Schizosaccharomyces pombe: one gene and its partners. The protein of the gene in region 2 purifies or fractionates together with the protein of the main gene of each other region. This does not show direct contact. Each region holds a gene or a part of one and is shown on either strand. Other genes may lie near its edges.

The links.
Region 1: the proteins of lea1 (region 2) and cip2 purify together in Schizosaccharomyces pombe (affinity purification with mass spectrometry, with the first as the bait; one large-scale study listed by BioGRID). This does not show direct contact.
Region 3: the proteins of lea1 (region 2) and prp45 purify together in Schizosaccharomyces pombe (affinity purification with western blotting; one large-scale study listed by BioGRID). This does not show direct contact.

What each region holds. Positions count from the first base shown.
Region 1 is NC_003424.3:343,117-346,874, reverse strand, and holds the start of cip2 (RNA-binding protein Cip2), read left to right. Parts: upstream 1-1,703; 5' UTR 1,704-1,745; coding exon 1,746-3,476; 3' UTR 3,477-3,758. Other genes in the region: efg1 (rRNA-processing protein), read left to right, coding at 257-331, 436-568, 631-761, 824-1,036. UniProt on the Schizosaccharomyces pombe protein: Regulates global gene expression after oxidative stress. Interacts and stabilizes mRNAs and may regulate their transition between different cytoplasmic components after oxidative stress.
Region 2 is NC_003423.3:4,144,785-4,148,196, forward strand, and holds lea1 (U2 snRNP-associated protein Lea1), read right to left. Parts: upstream 1,487-3,412; 5' UTR 1,280-1,486; coding exon 1,199-1,279; intron 1,138-1,198; coding exon 505-1,137; 3' UTR 501-504; downstream 1-500. Other genes in the region: elc1 (elongin C), read left to right, coding at 1-5, 46-94, 138-271, 310-314; serine/threonine protein kinase Ppk22, read left to right, coding at 2,872-3,412.
Region 3 is NC_003421.2:1,500,491-1,504,248, reverse strand, and holds the start of prp45 (Prp19 complex subunit Prp45), read right to left. Parts: upstream 1,607-3,758; 5' UTR 1,558-1,606; coding exon 1,529-1,557; exon of another isoform or gene 1,486-1,528; coding exon 1-1,485. Other genes in the region: SPOM_SPCC188.14 (uncharacterized protein), read left to right, coding at 3,039-3,278. UniProt on the Schizosaccharomyces pombe protein: Involved in pre-mRNA splicing.

The DNA of each region.
Region 1 (3,758 bases), on a different chromosome or scaffold from region 2:
CTTTGATGTACTGTTGAAAGTCTAAGCTTTTAAATCACTCCACAAGTACAACATATAAATCTACCTTGAATAAGTGTGAGTGAATCAAATATTTTAATCATAATTACCAGCTTAAACTTATATATAAAAGTAACGTGTCACTTGAGAACCTAGCAGCTGTAAAAATTGCAGTCCTTTAAGTTTACTACTGTTCTTCACCAGAACTAATTGTTTATGGTTTGAATTTCTATTTATCTATTTTATTGAGCGTTTTAGCATGCCAAAATTTAAGGGCCCTGGACTTTCTGTGCTGAAGAAAAAAATTCGCGACAATGAGAGATTATTGAAAAAGGTGTGTAATTTTTTTGCTGGTTTAAAAACATCTGCGGTTTCAGTGTGTAATAAATATTACCTTCCTTTTTATGTTAATGAATAAGAAAACTAACTTCCTTTAAGGAGAATTTGCCTGCAAACATTCGTGTTGAACATGAACGAGCTCTTTTGGGTCTACAAGAGCAGTTGTCTATGGCACAGTTAGAGCATAAAAAGCAAAAGATTTTTGAAAGATACAAAAAAGTTCGATTTTTTGGTATGAAACATATATAAAAACAGCATTTTTTGTTCAGTGAACTTGCTTACTGATTTTCTCAGAACGTAAAAAAGCAGAACGACGTATTAAACAATTGGAAAAATCTTTGAAGGATGAAACTATGGATGATGAGAAACGCAAGCAGTGTGAGAAATCGATGCGTAAATGTCAAATTGATCTTATGTATATTAAAGTATGTTTGTATTTTCGACTTCATTTCAACTATCAACTTGGCTAAGATACTAACCTATTTAGGAATACCCCCCTTTAACAAAGTATGTTTCACTCTACGCAGAAGGCACATCTGAACAGACCGAAGAAACTCGAAATCGCATTTGGGCCGAGATGGAAGAACGCTTTAATAGTGGCAGAAAACACAAAATACCATCTTCAGGTTCCAACAGGGTTCCTGTACAGGAAAAAAGTTCAACTGGTGGTGATTTGGAAGATGAATTTTTGCAAAGATAAATGAAAACTTGGATTGAGGTTTTGGAAATAAAGGGATTAAATAGACGAAACTGTAATAATATGATTCATTCTTTTTAATAAAGGTTGTGAAGTTTCCATATGAGTTATCGAGCAAGGTATTCTTTTTATGCAAGTTTATTTAAATTTTTTCTATGTCATATTGCAATGGGATTTGCTAGGGTACCAAAAATAGAACTTGTGGGAGAGAAGCTTTTGGATCCTAAGGTTCACTGAAGATATTTTTCACATATTTCATTCTATAATCTAATATGCTAAAATTCGAATGATATTTCATGGAATATCAAATTAATAAAAATATAAATTTACAAGAATTTAAGTAAAAACAAAAAATTAGGACTTTCATTTTGTTCTGTTTTAGGTGGTCGAATTATTAGACAGTTTAATAGTCTTTATCATTGCAGCAGTGTTTTTAAGAGCTCTTAGATGGACTTTCGGTTTTATCATCACAGTACCCTGTTATTTGCCTGGCAAAAAGTTACCTAGTGGGGGTTTAAAAATCAACACCAGTATGTAGTATATACATTTTATAATAATTATTTTTACATTTGCTTCTATAGATTGGTATATTTGAATTTATGGGTTTAAGACCTCAATAATATGGTGTAGTATATTGACTTTGCGCCCTTGGTGGTGTCCACGGATACCTAACCTCCGCACCACACGAAGTTACGACTTGTTTAGTGTCGATATGGCTGAGGGCACAAGCCAAAGGCCATTAACGCCTTTGTCGCAGGCATTTTTGTCAACTAATACTCTTTCTCCTGCTTCTTCCCCTTTAACTTTCCATTCTGAGGCTGCATCTCTGCGTAGAAAACGGTCCAACTTTTTCCCCAAATTAGATGAATTAAATGGAGCTCAAGATGAAGAAATGAGAGGTCTTAATATTCCTGGAGGATCAGGATATCTCGAGAACCGATATGGTCGTGATAAGTTTACGTTTTCTGATGCAGCCGTTAACAGTGCTGGAATGGGAGGGTCTGGCATATTTTCCCACAACAATGCAGATGATGGTTTGGGTGATGGTTCTTCTACGGTTTTACCAAGTTCCCTTAAACAAATGCTGGATCCTGAAATTTCAACTGCCAATAATCCATCTGCAAAGCCTCGTCGAACTCGTCTTCAAACTGCTTGGAAAGAAGCAACTAATTCAGCAGGCCTTTCTCTCCGGTCTGCAAGTGCTTTAGATGTACTCAAAAATTCTGGACCTGCTACTACCTCATTACTTTCCTCAACAACATACCCTTTTGATAGTTTAAATGCATTCAACGAACCATCCCATTCACATGTACCAAACTCAGCTTCTAGCACTGCTCTGTCTAGAGGTATGAGCAACTCTGTAACTTTGACGGCACCCCCTGAACCTGATGAAGAGACCATTCCTACCGCGATTGTTATTAAAAATATTCCATTCTCCTTGAAGAAAGAAGTGTTGTTTAAAGTGTTCACTGCATTAGACATCCCACGTCCATACGCTTTTAATTATCATTTTGATAACGGAGTTTTTAGGGGCCTTGCCTTTGCTAATTTCCATTCTCCAGAGGAAGCCAAAACGGTTGTGCAAGTTTTGAATGGCTATGAAATTACTGGTCGTCGTCTTCGTGTTGAATGGAAGCGTCAACTACCGCCTGCGGAGCGTGAACGTGTTGAGCGTGGTAAACAAGAGAAACGCGCTGTAGAAGAACGAAAAAATCAATTGAAATCTCCGTTTTCTGTTGCCAATATAGGTGCTGGCATTGATTTTGATTTGAATGATCCAGCTATACTCAATGTATATTCTCATATCTTGTTATTTTATTATCGCAGCGATAACACTAATGATCTTGTATTTGATTCTTCAACCACCCAGGAAGAACGTCGGGTTGCTGCCTTATTAGCTTCCCGTCTCAATCTCAATCATTCAGTTACTGGTGACGGTGAAGCTAAGCAAGTGGTTATTACCATGCCTAGTACTCATTTTACTCCCGCTAATAATTCGAGTGCTAACCACTCTCCTTTGATGGCCCCAAACGCCAGTACTTTAAATCCTTCTTCTTTAGGTGCTTCCAATTTGAGCCAACCAAGTCTTGCAAATCACTTGAGCTCCTCTGGTTTATTTGACAATGGTCTTTTCTCGTCCGGTGGTCTTTCTAGTAATTTTTCAAGTCTTAGACGACCCGCTCCCTCTATGCATCTTGCGGATAGCATACGTTCTCTCAGAGGACTAAATGATTCTAAAGCCTTTTCCGACATACGTAGTATGCCAGCTACTCCGTTAGAACTTGCTACTCCTTTTGCTAATTTAAATGTTTCCTCTCCACTGGATCGCAATGCGACTAATTCATCAAATACTTTAAACGGTAGTGCGATGAACGATTATTTTGCAAGCCTTACTCCATCAAACACCGGTGCTATTGGATCCAGAACTTTTACAAAGAATTAGTCTTGGATTTTTTGTTTTTCCCTGCTTTTGATTAATCTTGTTTTGGCTATGTCTCGGGTTTTATTAAGTTTCATTTACCTTACGATAATAAGCGCTTTCAAGCAAATTTATACTTTGTACATAAAAACGACGAGTGAAATTATCTCAATGAATTATCCATTTTTACGACCTAGTGTTCAATTGAGGACATGATTTTCATGCTTATATCGTTTACATACTCACTTCGGATGTGCATGTGATCGGGCTCATGCTTTTAAACTATAATGTGATTCTTGTAAAACG
Region 2 (3,412 bases):
CGAAGGTTTGATAATGATATTTAGTAAAGTAATTCTAATGTATAGGAATATTTTCTGAGGCGCAAAAAAATGAATGCACATTTCCTGATATACGGTATGCAATTGGTCTATTCATTCAATTCTAATAAGGTGTCTAGGGCAACACTGTTGGAAAAAGTTTGTGAATATTTGCATTACAATTACAGATATAAAAATCAATTAGATATTCCAAAGTTCGATATCCCACCTGAGATGGTTTTAGAATTATTGGTCACTGCGGAATATTTGGAAGGTAAGATTATCATTACTATTTAAAGCTAATGAATACAGCATAATTCTGATTACTCACGAGGAACGAAAGGATTGCTAAATTGCTACAGCATTAAAGAATTGACGGTTTTTGTTTACGATTAACGATTTGATGCCTTAAATAACTATTAAACGCGTTACCTATCGAATGCAAGAAATGAGATGGAAAAAATGTATTATATAACTATGCGGTTTCTAGAAATCTTGTGAGTTACTTTATTTTGGAATTTTCCCCTCTAATAGCATAGCTTCCAGTCGATTTATCTCAGCAATGGAAGAGGCATTTTTAATGGCTTCTTTGATCTTTTCTCTTTCCTCAGGTGTAAGTGTATATCCAGTTGTAATAGGAGAATTCGCTTCTGGGTGGCTTTGTACCAATGCAGCCAAATCAAATACTCGACTTTTCACACCCATAATAGAGGAAGCTATTTCTGTAGGGTTTTGAATTTGACCAAACACTTCTTCAGCACGAAGCCTTTCATTTCTTCTAACCCGTTCGAAATCTAAAATATGTAACGAAGGAATTCTCCATATAAGATATAATCTATAATATTGTTTTTGAGCAACTGGATTGTCAATGCACGACAAATTAGTGAGTTGAGGACAACTAGCCAACGGATCTAAATCTGCTATTTCTTGAAGATGATTTTGTGCTAGGGATAAAGTCTTTAAATTCGGAAGAACTTTACCTATGTCTGGGGCTATAGCAGTTATTCGGTTATTTCCACACAAAAGCGTTTGAAGCCTTTTCATACGAGGGAAATTCCCTAAATATCGAATGTCATTGTCTGTGAAATCAATTGCATCGTGTACGTCCCTTAACACTCCTAAATTTTCAATTATTGGAATCTGATACCCTGTAATTATGAGTTAGCTGGATGACACGTAGCATACAGTAATTTCTTTAAACATATCTTAAATCAAGCTCAGTTTCTTTCAAAGGACTGATGAATGAGGGTACCTGAGACAAAAATTCAGCATTAAGACGCATGAAATTTTTGTAATGAAAATGCCTTTTTTATGCTGTTACTGCAGTATGATTTAAAATTCCTAAAAAATTATCCAAAACGCTCACAATCCTAAATTTCACTATTGTTTATTCAAAAAATGTTATAGTTAACGTTTTAGAATCTAATAATGTAAAGTTAATTATGTAAAAACCAAGAATATGACACGTCAAGAGAAGAAGCAAAGTGGTAGAGTTTGGATAGTAAGCACATAAATAAATACAAAGAAATCTTGACTCAATAAGCAAAAAATACTCACTTTTTCTACTTTTTAGATTTAAAAAAAACAAATTATGCGTAATTATACTTTGATAATTGACTGACGACTTCCATGTTCAAGAATCGGCTTTCGTACTAGAAAATTCTTGGGAAAACAGAGAATAAATGATTTTTGTATATGTGTGTTTTGACACCTTTAAATAAAACATTTTTTCATTGTTGTCAAATATATATCTTAAGTTTGTCAGAAATTGGTACACACTCTTTTATCTGTTGAGCTCTCAAAAACAAACACAAGCAATCGACTATTTGGATGAAACACACATTGTTTTCCACTCAAAGTTTTAGTTCAACTCATCTATAATGTTCATACTGCCTCCCTATTTGACTTCGTGAGCACAAACCGCCAACGAAAGTTTGAAACCAGGTTATTTACAATTATTCAGAGTTGCTTAAGGAACCTGTTTTCCTATTAAAAAATTGCATTGAGATACTTACTAAACTGCTATATCTTTTTGTTTTCTCATTTAATGAAAAACATTCCAAAAACAATATTGACATCAAGTCGTTTTTTAATGTAACAGTTTTAATGAATTCTTCAGATTGTTTCTATCGTATTGCTCTATCTCAATGAAAGCACTGCTAAGAAATTATATTTAAATTGATATGACAGCTTCTAATATCGAATCAACTATCCATCCTCATACTAATACCACATGAGTCGGACTAATTGAAAATGCCAGCGATATCGACAAATGTACATCGACATTTCGGATAATGTTTGGGTTTAGAGTAGCCTCTTTTGTAGTTGAAAGTGGAAGAAATACATGATTAAATGTTGTGCTTCCATAGCTCGTGTACTTATAAATCATACAGTCACTCTTGAGAATATGAAATTAAAAATCACTGCATTTATTCTAACACTTATTCTGTTCCAGTAAGAATTATTCAAACTGAATTTACTACAAAACTACAGATCAATACCCACACATAAAAACCAAAAACAAGTTTTTTCTTTTATTTACAATAGCTTCAACTAAGTATTTTGAAGCTGCTTGTTAGTTAATGCTACAATATGACTGTTTATTTCTATATGCTTAAAAAGAGGATTATATAACATAAGGATGGCCGTGGCTCCACTAACTATTCTTTTGCCGACACCTCCAAATGAAACAAGAATTAATATAAGCAGGAGGAATACCATTCGGCTAGTTATATTAGACTATTTGGGAGCTTTGAAGTCGTTTTTCAAGTTTGCTTACATTCTGATTTATATTAGGTATTATAAGTGAGCCGTCAGCGAAATTTATTAACCGGTGAATGTTTGAAGCGCTACGAGATTAATGGATGACTTAGAATGGCTCGAGAAACTGAATTTAATGACAAAAGTCCCTCTTCCACCGATGATGGTATGAGCCAGTCGCACTTTTCAGATAAACTGAAAAATTTGTTTCACTTTCGTAGGAATCGAGCGGCAACCGTTTCTACTAGTGTCCGAAATGATCAGAGGGATAATGATTCTGATGACTCAACCTTTGATATTAATGTTAATCAATTGAATGAATTAGATCTGAATGATAGTAGCGATCAATTGGATAGTCGTCCCAGCCTTAGACGCGTATCTTCCGCACCTGATTCTCACAAAGGAGTAGAAGCGCCTCCTCCTCGTCCTTTAATTAATATGAGCAATATTCGAAAGGCACAGGTCAAGATTTTAAAAAACCCCGGCAACTACATTTTTGGAAGAACTGAGTACGGCAAACGAACTTATTCTGGGAATAGTACAAAAATTAGCCGAGTAGAAGTCACACCTCATAGTTTTGAAAAAATACGTCTTCTTGGTCAGGGTGATGTGGGTAAAGTGTATCTTGTTCGCCAAAAAAGCAACCATCGGCTCT
Region 3 (3,758 bases), on a different chromosome or scaffold from region 2:
CTAGTAATACGTTCCAATTCTGCAGATGCATCAACTTGACGGGACAAAGTAGCACCCGGTCTATATAACGTTGATGAAGGTGCCGCCCGCCACGGTTTATCATACACATTGTAACTGTCTTCGTCTTGAAATCCGGATCCTAAGCCAGAAGCCTGATTAAATAATCTACTATCGATCATTGTATCGCTTGACATTGATGGTTTTGAAAGTCCTAAAGCAACCCTTTCAGCGACATCACGAGGTCGATCTTTTTCAGCAAGCTTAGCACGTTTTTCAGCACCCATTCGACTGAGACGAAGATCCTTTTCAGCTTGGCGTCTTCGCTCGCGGCGAAGTTCTTGACGACGGCGAAAAGCTTCTGAATCCTCATCTTCATTTTCTGACTCTGAATGATGCGAGAACGATCCAGCTCTGGAACGACTTCTTTCTTCAGAGGAGACAGAAGTAGAGCGGGGTTTTGCATGTGAAGGACCCGAAGAAGCCGCATTTCTACCCATACGATCTTCCCTTGCTTTTTGAGCAAGCATAAATAAACGTTGCTCCTTTTCCTGCTTTTCCTTTTCAGCCATCTTTTGGCGCATTATGGCACGATATCGGACCTCTTCACGAGCTTGACGCTCCACCGTGTACAATGCTTCAGAAAATTTGGCAAATCCATCGTTGATTTCAACATCATTAAGACCACGACCATCAGCGGCCAGCCGCTTATCCAATGGAATAGTGTAGCCTTTCGGATTTTTCCAATTAGAAATACTCGGAGGTATTTGCCAATCTTGTTGTTCTTGAGCAGAAACTTTTCGTGGAGGAGAATGCAAGACGGGAGGAGGAGGAGAAGGTGGTCCACGAGGAACCTTTTTGTGACGGAATTTTGGTGGTTCCATGGGATCCTGTTCAGCTGTGACCATTTTGATAATCCTCTGTTTGCTAAGTGCTTGTCCCATTTGATTGCTAGGAGTATATCGAATGTATACAGGATCGTCACGTTGTTGTACCACAGCACTTTTAGGTTGAGACTGAGCGATTTGTTTGGAAAGTATTTTTTGTAAGGCAAGCTTAGTTTTATTCGCTACTTCTTGCTTTTGCTCGTCAGACGGTTTCTCTAACGAAATTTCTCCCACACCTAGTCGTGCACGTAAGGGGATCAAATCTCGAAAGCTTGCCTGTACCAACTCTCCATGTTCGTGACCTTGTCGAGCAATGGCATTATAGTCAACAGCGCCCGAAGAAGTGACCTGTAGAGCCAATGTATTACCAGCAGATTTAGCTGACCTTTTTCTGCCCATATCCAAAGGATATTGTGCTACATGGATTTCGGGAAAAGCTCCACCATCGCCAAAGTCTTCAGGTGAAGAAGGAAACCATCCCTTTCTTTGTCCATAGGGAGGAATGTGAAATTTGACACCAATTTGTCTTTCATCTGCATGTGATGTTTCCCTCTCCACATAATCTTCCTCTTCATCGTCGAAATCAGGATTTGGAAGTATACTGCGGCGTTGTTAGTGAATTTGAGAAAAAAATATAAGTTTACCTAGAAAGTTCTTCGGATAAAAGGGCCATTTTTGGAAAATAATAAACAACTTTCCACTCAGATGTGTGAAGTGGTGTTGAGTACGAGTTGTATGGATATAATGGACATATGAATTCTGTTCGAATGAATCCAAAAGCTCTCGCAGCTTTGAGAAATAATTTAATAAATAAATCCTCAAATTACTTGGAAATTTACTTGCAAGAATGTATGAAAGAAAATCAATGCACGCATTACAACAACTGGTAAATGAAGCTAGTATTACGCTAGGTCACCTAAGTTAGGATTCCGTACTTGTTAGCATTAGTGTGAGCAACACAGTAGAATTATTGCGAATAAGGCACACGAGGAAATGCGTAATTCTTAAGTGTATTAACGATGCTTTTGACAACATAAATCATTTTCAGTGGGATATCTCACAGTTTTCATAAATACTATTCCGACACACTCGATTACGTTAGATGTTAAGAATTATCAGATCAACTTAGCAATGCGGCTTGTAACTATCTATACCTTTGTGTTTTCTTTCACTTTTTGCGAAGTTTATAAAGTTGAAATTAGCTCCCAACGTGCTTTATAACTTTCAAAAAAGTAGTGCCACGTTTATAGGAGATACATTTAATAAAGAAAAAGATTTGCCAAGCGATGAATAGTGAAAGTTAGCATACTTATGGCTCAATGCCTATATATAGTTGTCATTAGCCAGCTACCTTACAAAGTAATGAGAAATGAGCTGTAAGGCATGTTTGAACTTTCAATACTTCAAAAATATTGATTTAGGCGATCAATACGAATTGTACTAAAGTTTCTATATGTACCTCACCTTTTTTTAAATTTAAGTGGAGTTGATGGATTTTTCTCTCTTTATGTGTGTCTTCATGAGACTATCAAATCGCGTACTTTTTAACTCAATGGATATCATTTGATAGCAAACATAATTCAAACAATTTGCCTCTATTTTTTTTATTTAATAACGAGTCAAACTTACCGAAAGAACCATATAGTCAATGTTACTGAATCAATGAGATTTTGCGGATACGTTGGGTGTGGTTAAAAATTAATCAAATCTTGTTTTCTCCTCTATTCCTTTTTACTTTTTCAACGGTCTACTATGCAAAGTGACCTTGTGTAAGAATGAGAGTCAAAGAGAAAGCAACAGTATTTCATTATTTACACTTCTGTAACGTTTCACGCGAAACGCTGGTAATTGACTTGAACACAACTAAACTGCTGTTAACTGGAACAATTTATTGAAGTGGTTGTTTTTTTTGCCCATATTTGGTTGGACTTTCTGCCTTCTGTTTTCGTCACTTTACATGATTCTAGAGAATCGGTAAAATTGCCAAAGTCTTTCCGATAAAGCGGAACGAACGCAAGATATCAAAAATCAATACTATAAAAATTTTTGTTGTTGATTGCTAATGTTATAATAAGGGTCTGTTGCTCATAACCAGGTTTGGTTTAGTAGGTAAAAAGTTGTCTGAGCTAAAACCTCAACTTTTGTATAGTACTGATGCCCACGACAATTTCGCTTATTATATTTACATTTCTTTCACTTGGGGACTCGTGGAACGATTTCCCGTCAAGTAATGTGCCTGTTTATAACATGGTTACCGGCATATACGCTAAGTTTATGAAAAACTCCCCAAACTGGCCACTTTCACGATGCTGGTTATTCATCCCACAGTTTGCTGTTTACCCAGAATACTTTATACTTTCAATAAGAAACACTCGTAGAAGAAACGTACTTTGACTGCTCTCACGGTTAAAGTTGTCATATAGAGAGCGGTTTCGTTTAATTTGATCGATAAGACCAGCCTGTGTTATTCGATTGAATCAGGTTTCGTCTCTACTTCTTTTTGACTTTCTGCGTTTGTTCTGTACAATATTTGGTTTCCAATTTTTGAGCGAAAACTATCTGATGCGAGAGGCGGACTACTTAATTTTTGAAGTTTTTTTATTTTTGTTTTTTTTTAATTCCGCCTAGTCCCTCTTTTCTAGTCACTCATTTCAAATCTTACAAAGCCCGCGTTTAATTTGTTAATAATCTAAGTCGTTCATGTTTTCTTTTCGTTTTTCCACTCTAGTCTTCCTTTTTTTAAGCATTTTTACGGTGGTTCTTAGTGAACCTCGTGTATCAATTGGACTTGCTAAGCGGACTATATCTCAAACCTCCTCCTCTTCCTTGTACACTTGTCCCGATTATATTACGATTTTTTCAGAAGGAACTTCT